3 linked regions of the Sus scrofa genome follow. The protein of the gene in region 2 interacts with the protein of the main gene of each other region in a pairwise test. Links are inferred from orthologs where the notes say so. Each region holds a gene or a part of one and is shown on either strand. Other genes may lie near its edges.

Region 1 (4,383 bases), about 20 Mb from region 2:
CAAAGACGGGACTCCATTTTCAAATTCTAGAGACCACTTCCAGCATCTTATGCTGCCACTTCCACTTCCTCATGCTTTGGATTATGATATCAGTGAGCAGGGATGGGTCCCCAGGGCTAGAGGCTCAGGACGTGACGGAGTCAGGGCTTTCAAACACCTGTCCCTTGTCAGTCACCAAAGGGGACAGGGACGTGCCTACTTACTGGTGCCCCAGGTATGCTCTCATCCCACTAGGACGCCTGCAGCTAGGAGGAAGGGACAGCAAAACAGGTTCAAGAGGGACTGGGATGGTGCCTAAAGAAAAAGAGAGAACACCACTGACTTCTCCCCAGCGAGCCTGGCCATGAAGTTTCTGGGATCAGCCGAGAAACCAAGCCTTCGCTCTTGACCAGCTGGCCCCGCCCACCGCAAAAATTGCTTTCTTGGGCAGAAGTCCCGCCTCTCCCCCTCCCACCTCATGGCTCTTTAGCATCCCAGCTCTGATTGGACTAATCCCCAGACTCCCCGCCCTACTTTTGACAGATGCTTAGCAGTCCCTCCCCTGCACGTGGCCCAGCCAGAGGCTGGCTGCTCCCCTTCCCTACTCGCCCCCCCCACCTCCCCCAGCTTGGAGTAAAAAGGTTCCCTCTCGTCGCCTTGGGTCGGGAGCTCTCAGCTTCCATTGCAGCTGGGGCGGCAGGACAGGGCTTTGGGGAGACCCCCAAGTGCGGGAGGAGGTGTTCCCAGGGCCCTGAAACCTTCCAGACCTGCTCAGTGTAAACCGCCTCGGGCTTGTGTCAACATCCGAAGCCAGAGACTGGCGGCGGCTGGGGACAGACTTCGTCTAAGGAGACCGGAGGGTGGGGAATGGAGGGGTCCATAGGGTAGGCAGAGAGATCCCAGGAGGCTTCCTGAGACTGAGAAATAAGGAAAGTCTGTCTGGGGAGGGATCGGAATTAGAGGCTGTAAGGGGCCCAGGACTAGCGTGGGGCTAAGTGGAGCCTGGGTACTTCGCCATCCCCGTCCACTTGCCTGCTCTCAGTTCCTTGGCGAGAGGGGTGGTTGGGTTGGAAGGGGGATGAGAAGGCGTGGGCTGCTGACTACCGCATCTTTTTCCTCCCCACTCAGTTCCTCCTCACCCTCCTCTGATTTGGGGTGAGATACAGGAGGGGGTCACATCTTGTGACTCATCCCCTTTTCTGTCCCCACCCCCGCTGGGGCCCAAGAAGGAAAGGCTTAGAGACTCGGCTGTGGCTCTCTCGTTTCCATAGCAACCGTGCGGTTGTTTTCGCGGATCCATATCAATCGTGGACACTTTTAACCCCTGAGGCCCGGGTCTGAGCCTCGGGGAGGGAGACAGATGGGGGTACAGCCCTCCCTCTTCCTCGCGACTCTGGGAAGGTCAGGGAGGGCAGGCGGGGCGCGTTCTTGTAGCCCAGCCTCACTGGCCACTTGGTCCCCACCTGAAACCCCGCCTGCCACTCCGCCTCAGCCGAGCCAATCAACGCCTAATCTGCCCAGAATGAGGCGGGGCTTATGCAAATCGTGTCGCCTCCGACAGACACATAGTGATACAAGAGCTGGGAGGCGGCTCCGGCGCGGACCTTGGAGAACCTGGCGGCCGGCCCGCGAGCCAGTCTCGGTCCCCACGGCCCGCCGAGGCTCAGAGTCATCCAGCGACCCGGCGCTCGGCCTCAGGTAACGCGGGCAGGGCCGGGAGGAGGCCCTTGTCCCCTCCCCCTCCACTCTCCATTCCCATCCTCGTCTTCTGCCCCACTCTGATCCATCTCCCTGACCCCTGGTTCCACCATAGGAGGCAGTATATGGAGAGCCCGCCCCTGGCCAGAGGATTCCTCCCCACCCCTCCAGTCCATTCCAGACCCTACAGGTCCCAGGGAAGGAGGCAGAAGCGTGTCCTTACTCTCAGAGCAACCACTGCTCTCGCGCCCAACACACACACACCACACACACACACACACACACACACCTGGGGTCGCAGTGTTGCTGGTGCCAACGAAGGAACCCATCACTCTCCCTCCTTTGGAAATGGGAGATTGCCCCAGCCCCATGGCAACCACCCACCTCCACAGGTAGCCCTCACCGCACACCATCCAACCCCACCAAGAGGTCACTGCACTTCACACCACAATGTCGCTGGCCCCCAAGACAGCCTCCGCCTCCACAGAGAGCCCACTCCCACTTCACGTTGTCGCCTCAGACTGTCCGCACCTCCAGCTCTCAAGCTGACAGAGCTCATAGCATACTTGTGGGAGGGAGGAGGCTCCCACATCCAGTTCTCTTCCTTGAGACACTCTCTCAACAGCCCCCCTGCCCAGGGTCTCAGTGTGAGGCGCAGGCCTCTTTTGCCTGGTGGGAGGATGAACCAGGGACAACACCCCCAACAGACCGTCAAGGTCCCACCCAGCCTCCTCCATTCCCCCAGCTCTCAGCCCTCACGGCCAAAGCACCAAGTCTTCTCATTCCACCTCTCAAATATCTAATTCATACCCTTCCTGGACTTCTGGCATCCAGCCGCTCCCTCTCTCCTATCTTCCTGTGGCTCCACAGGGACCATGACAAAGCTCCAGGTGTGCCTTGCCTAAGGCAGCCTGAACCTGGAGGGCAGAAGAGCCAGGCTCAGATCTTGCCTTTGCCTCAGTGGCTGTTTGACTTAGGCCAAGTCACTTCCTTCTCTGATCTTCCACCAAATGGGGAATTCAGGGGTGGGGTTGGTGTGGGCAAGCCAGAGTGTGGAGTTGATGAGATGATCTTGGACAGCTTTCCAGCACTGACATACTCTGGTTCTGTGGCTGATTATGAGAAAACAGGGCCCTCTCCCTCTTTCCCTGAACCTTTAGGACATTTGAGAGAGGAAGCCTCAGGGACTTTAGTCCTCACTGAAAGGACATTGCTTCTTTCCCAGACCTGAGTATGGACCACCCCCTCCCACACACTTTCCAGACCCAGGCTTCTTCTCAGCTTTTAGGAGTCCCTCCTAGGTCATCAGCCCGCATGACATGGGCAGGTTCAGGGTAGAGGAATTCAACAGGACCTACCCTTTTTTTGTCATCCCCTGTTTCTCAATAATAAGGAGAAGGAGAAGACCTGACTGTTGCTGCTATGGCCGCTGCTTGGAGAAGAGCAAAGGAAGGAGAGGAAAGAGAAAAATCTCCTGACCAGGGAGCTGTTGTCACCATAGCAACAGTCTCAGCACCAGCTCCTCTGAAGCTGGGTGAGGGTGTGGGATTATTGCCTCCCTCAGTCCCTCCCACCCTTCCTGCCACCTCTCCCTCTGGAGCCCACACTCCTGGGCCCTGCCCTCTGAAAGTAGCTTCTGAGCCCAGAGGGACAGCGGCTTTGTGTATGGGGCAGTGCCAGCTCCTTCAAGGCTGGAGGGCAGCCCTCAAGAGGAGCCTGCCCATCTTCAGCATGGCCGCAGCTGCAACAGGACATGCCCCCAGTGGGTTCTGGCCTTCACCTTTCTGCTGACGGGCTCTACTTGACCTTGGGTGAACTCTTCCTTTCCCCATTGTCTCTAAGGTGCCATGGCAGGAGAACACAGATAAACAAACCAGCCAGCCATCATCTCAAGGAGAAAAAAGGGGGTTCTGCCTCTCCCATATAATCCATGCAGGGACATTCATTAAACATGTCTGTGTTCCAGACATGGCCTTTAGGTCTCTGCAGGGCAGTTCTGTACTGTCACAGAGGGCAGAATGGAAACCTGCGTGGGGCAGCTACAAGAGGGCACGATAGGAACAGTGGGAGAAACACTTTTCTCACTGGCCCAGCTGCTCCCAAGAAGGCTGGGTTACATCAAGTAGGGATAAACTCTTTGCCATGGAGCAAAAGGTCTAGAGAACTTTTCCTGGCTCAGGCAAGAATTTAATGCAAAGGTCTCCCCCAAATCAGGCTCTATTCCCGAATTCTAGAGCGCCAGGTGAGGGTCAGAGGACTCTGGAGTCTATGCACCTGTGGGCTCAACTCCATGCCCAGAATGCCAAGTCCATGCTGCTGACTGTCTACTCTCCAGGCTGGGGGAGGCTGATCATAAGGCAGTGGGCTTCAGTCAGGCCCAAAGGCTGATTATAGCTGCATCAGCCCAGAAGGGCAGAAAGGCTATTAGGGAAGATGAAAACAGCCAAGCAATAGTTGAAATAGGTTCTGGCTTGAAAGTACGTAGTTGAGAGGGGAGCAGTGGGAGGTGAGGCTAGACAGGTAGACACCTTGACATCAGATTCTAGAGGACTCTGGAGTTTGAGGGGGCTCATGGGCAAGGCCACCATCTATCTCTAGTTTATATTGTACTTTTGGGCAATAACAGAAAAAACATTCTCTTGGGACAGAGGAATCAGAAAGAAAGGCACTCCCTCCAAGGCAGTTGAGCTCAGGGGCATGGCTTGG
Region 2 (3,596 bases):
AGCATCTCCTTTAACCAAGGCTGAGAACACAGACCTGGGGGTCACTGGTCCTAGAAGTCGTGCATGTGAGGAAAGGCAATATTTAAGAGAAAAAAACAGATGTATGACTCTGGGGAAATGGGGGGATGGGGGTGAACAAGCAGGGGGTGATCCCCCAGGGCTGGGGAGTCTGGCAACCAGAGAGGGTTTCTGGGGGGGGTTCAGTGGCCCCCGAGGGGCAGATGGGGTAGAGGAAAGGGCAAGGCAAAGGTCAGGGGGCAGCAAGGGCCATGAGGATTTAATGACATGAGAGCCTGAGGGACAAGGAGCAAAGCTGTGAGCAGAGAGGAGCTGGCCGGCTGAGGACAGCCTGGGAGACCTGGTGGCCCAGCGAGGCCCCTTTCCCGGCTGCTGCTGCTGGCAGCTCACACCCGCATCCTTCTCAGGAGCCTTGCCTTTGGCCAATGGGAACTGCCTCACCTGGAGAAGCTGGGGAGGTGGGAGAGCCCAGTGGCAGCCAGTGACAGACTGCTGGAGGAATAACATAAAATCAGCCACCTGGCCTCAGCGCCACGAATCCCGTGGTGCGAGTCATGCTCCGGAGCTCCCATGGAATCGGGCTGAGAAGGACAAGACTTCTGCCACCACACCTTTGCCGAGCTCCCTGCCCTGCCCTGTGCTGCTGCCCTGGCTCCCTTCCTTCCTACAGGTTCCCTTCCAGAACACTCCCTCAGCAAATCACTAGCACGACAATTCTCAACTCGGGCTCTGCTTCTAGGGAACCCCAACCCATGCTGGCCTGAGTGGCAGATTTCAACGTCTGCAGAGGGGCGGGGAGACCACACGGGGCAGACGCCCGGAAAATCAGGGCCATCTCCCAGAACTTCTGGAGGATACAACAATTCAACACACGGCAGCGGGGGCGGGGGGAGGGGGGGCGGTGCCAGGGGCAGGAACCCTAAGTACTGCAGGGCCCAGCATGGAGCCTGGCCTTTAGAAAAAGTCGAATCCGGAGTTCCTACTGTGGGTGAGCCTGTTAAGAACCCAACTAGTATCCATGAGGACGAGGGTTCGATCCCTGGCTTCACTCAGTGGGTTAAGGATCAGGTGTTGCTATGAGCTGTGGTGTAGGTCGAAGACGGGGCTTGGATCTCACGTTGCTGAGGCTATGGTGTAGGCCAGCAGCTCCAATTTGACCCCTAGCCTGGGAACTTCCATAGGCCACAGGTGCAACCCTAAAAAGGAAAAAAAACAAACAAAAATGTTGACTCCAACAGGGTGGCGACCCTTCCAGCTGCAATTCACCTTTGACCTTCCCACAGCTAGTGCCTGGGGGTGGGGGGTTGCCAACTTCAAGGGCAGCAGAGCTTACCCACAAGGGATGAGGTGGCTAGGGCTGCCACGTTATAGTTGCTGGAGCACGACCTGGAGTCGGACAGGTAGCCATTGGTGGTCTGGAAGCACCTCTGCAGGAGGGGGAGGGGGTGAGCAGGGGGAGGCAGACCTACGAGATGGCATCCCCCACCCCTCCCAGCCCCCTTACCCACCCTCCCCAGGTACTCTGGGCAATCCTGCCAACCCCCACAGGACCTATGTCCTCAGCACCCCCCCACCGGGTGGGCAGCTCCATGTGCCCGGGCTGGGCCGAGCAGAGGCGGGGGCAGCAGGGGCAGCTGGGGCTGGTTAGACCAGGGGCGGGGCACGTGCACTGACCTGCCAAGGATCCCAACAGAAATCCATCTGTTTGTCCTAAAACAAAGGGAGAAAGAGGAACAGGCGGAGCCTGGCACAGTGTGCCAGCAGATGGCATGAAGCCCTGGGTCAGCTTTCTGGTGCTCCCTGAGGTCAGGGTCTGCCTACTCATGGGTTATGCCCTGGTGTCCCCTGGCGGGGACAGAAGTGGTCTGGGGGGTGGAGGCGGGGCAGCGGTGGGTCTGCCAGGAGAGGCAGTGGGTACAGGGGCTGGATCAGATCTGGGTTCGAGTTTTGACTCTGCCATTGCTACCTGGGTATCCCTGGACAGGTGCCTGAACATCTCAGAACATCAGGTTCATCTTCTGTAAAATGGTCACAATGCCATTTACCTCCCGGGCTGTTTTGACGCATAAATGACATAATGTAGGCAAAATGCCTGGCACAACACTTGGCCTGTGGTATATGCTCCAAAAAAAGGTAATTGCATTAACCAGTAGGTTCAAGCCACAACCTCGGGGGCAAAGGTGGAAATTATGCACCAGGATTGGAGGCTCCTTGCTAGACCTTCCAGATCTCCTGGACTGAGAATTCCAGGCCTTTCCTCTCCAGCAGGCAGTGCAGGCTGCTAGGGAGTCGTGGGCTGGTAACAGAACGTGTTACCCGCAAGCCTGAGTTACCTTGGATGGGAAGGCTTCAGCATGGGGCTCTCTATTCTCAGCAGGCTGGTTCAGTCCTTGGATGCCCAGCCAGTTCAGACCTTCATCCAGCTGAGTACCAACCCTTAGGGGCCCTGATCCCACAGGAAGTAGCCAAGCCTGGCAGGTGGAAAGGAGCTTGACATGGCTTCTGCTCCCTCTGGGGACCCGTAGGGCACAGCCCAAGAACCAGGGCCTAGTGCAGGAAGAAGGTGGGGATGAAGCGACACCAATTACCTTGCCAGTGACACGGTCTGGAGCCATGATGGGTGGGCAGCTGGAGGGCAAGTTCGGGCTCAGAGGGGCCGTGCCCTGGGGCATGGGGCAGTCCTTGTGGGCACTTGTGAACAAATCTGGAAATAAGAAAAACAGGTGGGACTTAGAAAAGCCCAGTGCACTCTTGCTTACGAAGCTTGCTCAAGCCAGTTCTGAGAGACGGGGGGCGTTTCTTTCTTATTCCTCAGTCACTTTTTTGTTTTGTTTTGTTTTGTTTTTGTCTCTTTGTCTTTTCTAGGGCCGCGCCCACAGCATATGGAGGTTTCCAGGCTAGGGGTCGAATCGGAACTGTAGCTGCCGGCCTACACCACAGCCACAGCAACACTAGATCCAAGCCATGTCTGCGACCTATACCACAGCTCACAGCAACACAGGATCCTTAACCCACTGAGTGAGGCCAGGGATTGAACCCGCAACCTCGTGGTTCCTAGTCGGATTCATTAAGCCCTGAGCCACGTCGGAAACTCCACTCAGGTCATTTTGTAGAAAACAGACTCGAGGCCACAGGTGAGGAGTCCAGTCAGGTCCCCTCCTTCCTGGACCCCTCAGCAGGGACGGCTCTTCTTTCATCAAGACGGAAAGCAGACCATGTGATCCGTGGTGGAGAGAATGGGTCGATGCCTTCCAAGCCCCCTGGATCTCAGCTAGAGAGCTGGAGAGAAGCCAGCAGCAGGGTGCAGGGAGCAGCCGGGGGTGTCTGTGTTGGAGGTTCCAGAAGGAGAGGGGATGAGGTCGCCAACCTCGCCGGAAGCAAACTGGCAGGTGTCAGAGAAACAGAGAAGGATCTCTGGGGAGCGTGGGCACTGATTTAACCGGAGGCTGGTGACTTTCCCCAGCAACGTGCAGCTCTGAGGGTTCAGGCACGAAGCAGGTGGAGGGTTGAGAGGGTCAAGGGCATCCGCAAAGGAGAGCTTGTAGGATACAAGTGGGAATGGCTGGCCCATCTGCCTG
Region 3 (4,285 bases), on a different chromosome or scaffold from region 2:
CAGGAGTAGGCCCTCCTGGCAGCAGAGATTTATCAGAATCGAGGCCCTTTGCCACGGGAGATATTCTTGGTGTCCTCAGACCCCAAAGGTTAACTGCAGTTTTCCTGGACGTGATATGGTTTGAAGGCGTTTTGCAAAGCTCTCTGCTTGGATCTTGTTAGCGCCTCCAGAATCTCCCTCCTTGAAAGTGCAATTACCGCCTGAAGATACACCTCGACTGGAGGTGTACATTTGGTATCACCAAAGCTTAGAAAGGTACCTTAAGTCAGTAGGCAGGTGGTTGAGTTATTCAAACAACACCATTGAGGCAGGTTGGGAACATGTGGGAATTCTCCTTGTTTTTCTGGTAGGGAAGCGACCAGGCATTTACTGGGCACTACTCCTTGCCAAGTCTTCTAGGCATTGGCTAGGACAGTTAGGACGGGGCTGGGCCGGCCAACGTCCTAGTCCTTCAGAAACACAGAAGAGGACTTTAGGGAGTTCCCGTCGTGGCGCAGTGGTTAACGAATCCGACTAGGAACCATGAGGTTGCGGTTCGGTCCTGCCTGCTCAGTGGGTAACGATCCGGCGTTGCGTGAGCTGTGGTGTAGGTTGCAGACGCGGCTCGGATCCTGCGTTGCTGTGGCTCTGGCGTAGGCTGGTGGCTACAGCTCCGATTCAACCCTAGCTGGAACTCCATATGCGTGGAGGCCCAAGAAATAGCAACAACAACAACAAAAAAAAAAAAAAAAAAAAAAAAAAAAAAAAAGAAGAGGACTTTATAAGACGTCTTAGTCCAAGCCCTCAACCCTGGAATTCCAAGAGTGGTTCATTCCTTCCCCTTCACTGCCCCCCTCCCCAAGCATATTCAATAAAACGTCTTAAGGGCATAAAGAAGGCCCTTGTTAAACACATGTTGATAATTAGCATGATTCGCCCAAGGTCACCCAAGGCAAGAAGCTTCAAACCCAGGTCCCCTCAGTACACATTTCTCCACGCCATTCTGGACTCGGACCCTCCTGAGCAGCGGATACTAAAAGGCCAGCTCCTAGTCCTCCCAGTATAAGACCCTCGGAAGAAATGGCTCACGCCAACTGCCCACCATAAGAGTTTCTCCACTTTGAGCCAGGAAGATGCCCTCACAGCTTACTGGAAACGCTTCCTTCAGAGAAAGGTATGTCTGCAAGTTATCACCTTCACCTTAAAGCTGACAAAGGGGGGCCGAGGGCCCTCTAGGGCTGAGGGCCATGGGAAAAGCGGGCTCTAAGCTCTCCACCTCTGGCCTCGCCTTCGCCAACAGACTGGGTAACTTACTTTGCTCCGCCTGTCCAGGTGCGGGTTGCCCCAGAGGCCAGGCTCCCTTTTCCTATCTACTTTCCTTTTGAGTTTCTGCTAAAATCTGGAGACATGGAATCCACTCGCGGCAACTCCGAGCCCCTCGAACTGAGCATGCGCCAACGCCTGGCTGCTTTTGGTCACCGGCCCCAGAGCTCTCCGAGCTGGTGCTGCGGAGCGGGAGGAGGAGGAGGAGGAGGGAGGGAGGGAGGAGGGGAAAGGGGAGGGGGTGCCTGGAGAGGCGGAGGCTCGCGCGCCTGCGCATCCAGTTCCAGGGACCCTAGGTTTTTCTATGGGATTCCCAATCTGCAGCAGATTTACCGGAGCGCGTTGCGGCGGCGGCTGGACTTGCAAGGCGCGATCCTAGAGGGATTTAAGCAGCCTGGAGCTCCGGAGACAAAAAGAGCGCGAGAGAACCACACACAGAGCCGGCTTAACCGTTTATCCGAATTAAATATATACACATATAGTTATTTCTAAAGAACTGTTGAGTTTTATCATTGTCGTTAAGTGACCGTGCGCAGCGCTATAACTGTAAGTGGAAAATACAATCTTCGTTGCATTTTTGCATGTGTAGTGCAGCCAATTGTCTGGGAGATGGTTTGGCTATTGTCACATACTTTGCTTTGCATAGATACAGCTAAAGGCACGGTGAGAACTGCTTTGGTTAATGCTGGTGATGGAACCTGCAGTTAGTCCGAGAGGGACCTTTTGGAATAATGGGGGTGGGGGAAGGGGGAGTGTTTGTATGCGGCGTGTTTGGGGGCTTATCTTAGGCTAGCTTTAAGATAGGTGAAACAGAGGTGCTTTTTAAGTTTGTCTATAAATAAGCAGCTTTTCTTCCACCGATTTAAGTAGTTAATTGACCGATTGTGAAGTTTTCCGGTTGCTGATAAAACTATTGAGCGGTTGCAGTCAAGTACCAACCTGTCATCCGTGGGGCTGGTGCACCATTTTTCTCACCGTGGAAGAGCAGTGAACGTGTTCGTTAAGTAAAACTGAGTGGATGAGATGGTGTGGAAACCAGGGTGGGTTTCCAAGAGGATGTGAGTGTTCAGAAACACCGAGGTAGGCGCAGAATAAGCACATGTCTCTGAGTATTTAGAGATGATTAGATCATTTTTCGGTTTTGATTTTTCGTCACGATGGTGAATGAGCAGAAAAAGGGACGGTGTTCAACCGCCCAGTCTAGTCGTCTATTTTGAACAGAGTCTGAGACTCAGAGCCGCCGAACGGGGACTGACAGACGCAAACTAGTTACCTGCTTTTGCATCCCGTATTCGCATTCTTGCATGCAGGGTTGAAAAACGTCTCTTACCCAGATATTTTACCTTCGGTAGCGTTTCTTTAAAGGAGAAAGGGGTCGTTTCGTGGTTTGAGTTAAAACGGGCTGTTCCTTGCCCAGAAACGGAAGAAGGGTCTTTGCAAGGTCAAACCCCCTGTGGAAGGAAATCAGGGGCGCTGGTGAATCGGGGGAGGGGGCAGGAAATGGGGATGCTCCATGCGAGTGCTCAGCACTGCACGGATCAGTGCCCTGTGAGATGCCAGAGTGGGAGTCCATTTTTCTAGAGTTGCCCTCCTGTCCATATTTTGGAGACTAAAATGAGATGGAAATGCTAGTGGGTGCAAAAAAAAAAAAAAAAAAAAAAAGAAAGAAAGAAAGAAAGAAAACAAGTGTAGCCACTGCCTGTGTGTCACAGCCCACTTGAAGACAAGAGGATCCAAAGAGTTGTATTGTTGCATGTTAATTTTTTAATTTTCACGTTGGGACAAATTAAAAAGGAAACTCTCGGGAAAACACGTTTTATCCTCACTGCCATTTAAACTGCCTACATGTGAATGTTGGAGGGGGGGGGAACGGCCTCTGGCATCATCGAACACCTCACTCGTGAGTACCCTCTCATTAAGCTTGGGTGTTTAATAACCCCAGAAAATGCTGCACTGAAGCAGGTTGGCAGAATGGCATGAGGCAGGCAGATGAGAGAAGAGCGTGGCCAGTGTATGCTGGATTTCTGTGGAAAAAGCAGATCCAATTTCTGGGATGAAAGGAAATAAATTTTACCCCAGATAGGACAGATTACTATAGGACTTTTTGGCCCTTTAATCAGTCCAACTGTTTGGAACTCTTGGAAGAAATTTTATCATTTATTTAAGTGGATGAAATTGGAAATAGAAAATTCGAGAATATCCTCTCCTTGGAAACCCAAAGTGTAAATCAGACTGCCTTCTCCATTTGTCTCTTCTTTACTCCAGGGCAGAAGGACCAATCATTTGTCATAATGAGCCATACTCCTTGTCATCAGAGAGAGTTGGAATCAGCTCCCTGAATGGTGCGGGTGTTGCCCCACACTGATAAATGGGTGCTAGAGAAAGAATGGGAAACCTGGTCTGAAAGCTCACAGATGTTTGCCCTCGGATACTCTGGTTCATAGGCTGACAGTTTTAGAGGGTCACATCGGGCAGAGACCTTCGAAAGCATCTAGCCCAAACCCTTATTTTACACATGAGGAAACTGAGGCCCGGAGCCTGGAGCTAGGGAAAAGTCAATTAACTTCTAGCCTATGGAATCAAGAATTAAAAAGTAATCTTGAAGGGAAATGTTTCCTTCTCTCTGCACATTTAGCATCCTTAGTGACACTGCTGACGTCTTCAAATAAATAAAAACCTGCACCCCAGCACATCTTTTGAGAAAGTCCCAGGGGTTCCTTTTCACACTATCATATTTCCCTTCTCTGCCTCTCTTTTTTTTGTGTGAGGTCTCTATTTCCTTTCTCTCACCCCTCATGTCTGATATACCTGCCGCCTTAGATGTTTAGTCTGGCCTCCTCTGTACCTCAGTCAAGTTCTTTGGCATCCTTCGAGTTATTGAAGAGAACTGGCAAACGAGTCAGAATCTTCAGCTCCTGTTTGAAAACTGTCCAGGCCCATCACCATCCCCTCTCTACTCTATTCCCCCAAATCCTTCAGGGAA

Evidence for each region.
Region 1: the proteins of FAM131C (region 2) and HPCAL4 interact in binary tests that used the Homo sapiens proteins (3 or more experiments, as listed by UniProt). The two-hybrid records come from large-scale screens. The link is inferred for Sus scrofa from reciprocal best matches to the Homo sapiens genes FAM131C and HPCAL4.
Region 3: the proteins of FAM131C (region 2) and VSNL1 interact in binary tests that used the Homo sapiens proteins (3 or more experiments, as listed by UniProt). The two-hybrid records come from large-scale screens. The link is inferred for Sus scrofa from reciprocal best matches to the Homo sapiens genes FAM131C and VSNL1.

Annotation. Positions count from the first base shown.
Region 1 is NC_010448.4:95,513,006-95,517,388, reverse strand, and holds the start of HPCAL4 (hippocalcin-like protein 4), read left to right. Parts: upstream 1-1,496; 5' UTR 1,497-1,677; intron 1,678-4,383. UniProt on the Homo sapiens protein: May be involved in the calcium-dependent regulation of rhodopsin phosphorylation.
Region 2 is NC_010448.4:75,198,617-75,202,212, forward strand, and holds part of FAM131C (protein FAM131C), read right to left. Parts: intron 2,723-3,596; coding exon 2,607-2,722; intron 1,729-2,606; coding exon 1,693-1,728; intron 1,446-1,692; coding exon 1,352-1,445; intron 1-1,351.
Region 3 is NC_010445.4:120,285,353-120,289,637, reverse strand, and holds the start of VSNL1 (visinin-like protein 1), read left to right. Parts: upstream 1-1,480; 5' UTR 1,481-1,848; intron 1,849-4,285.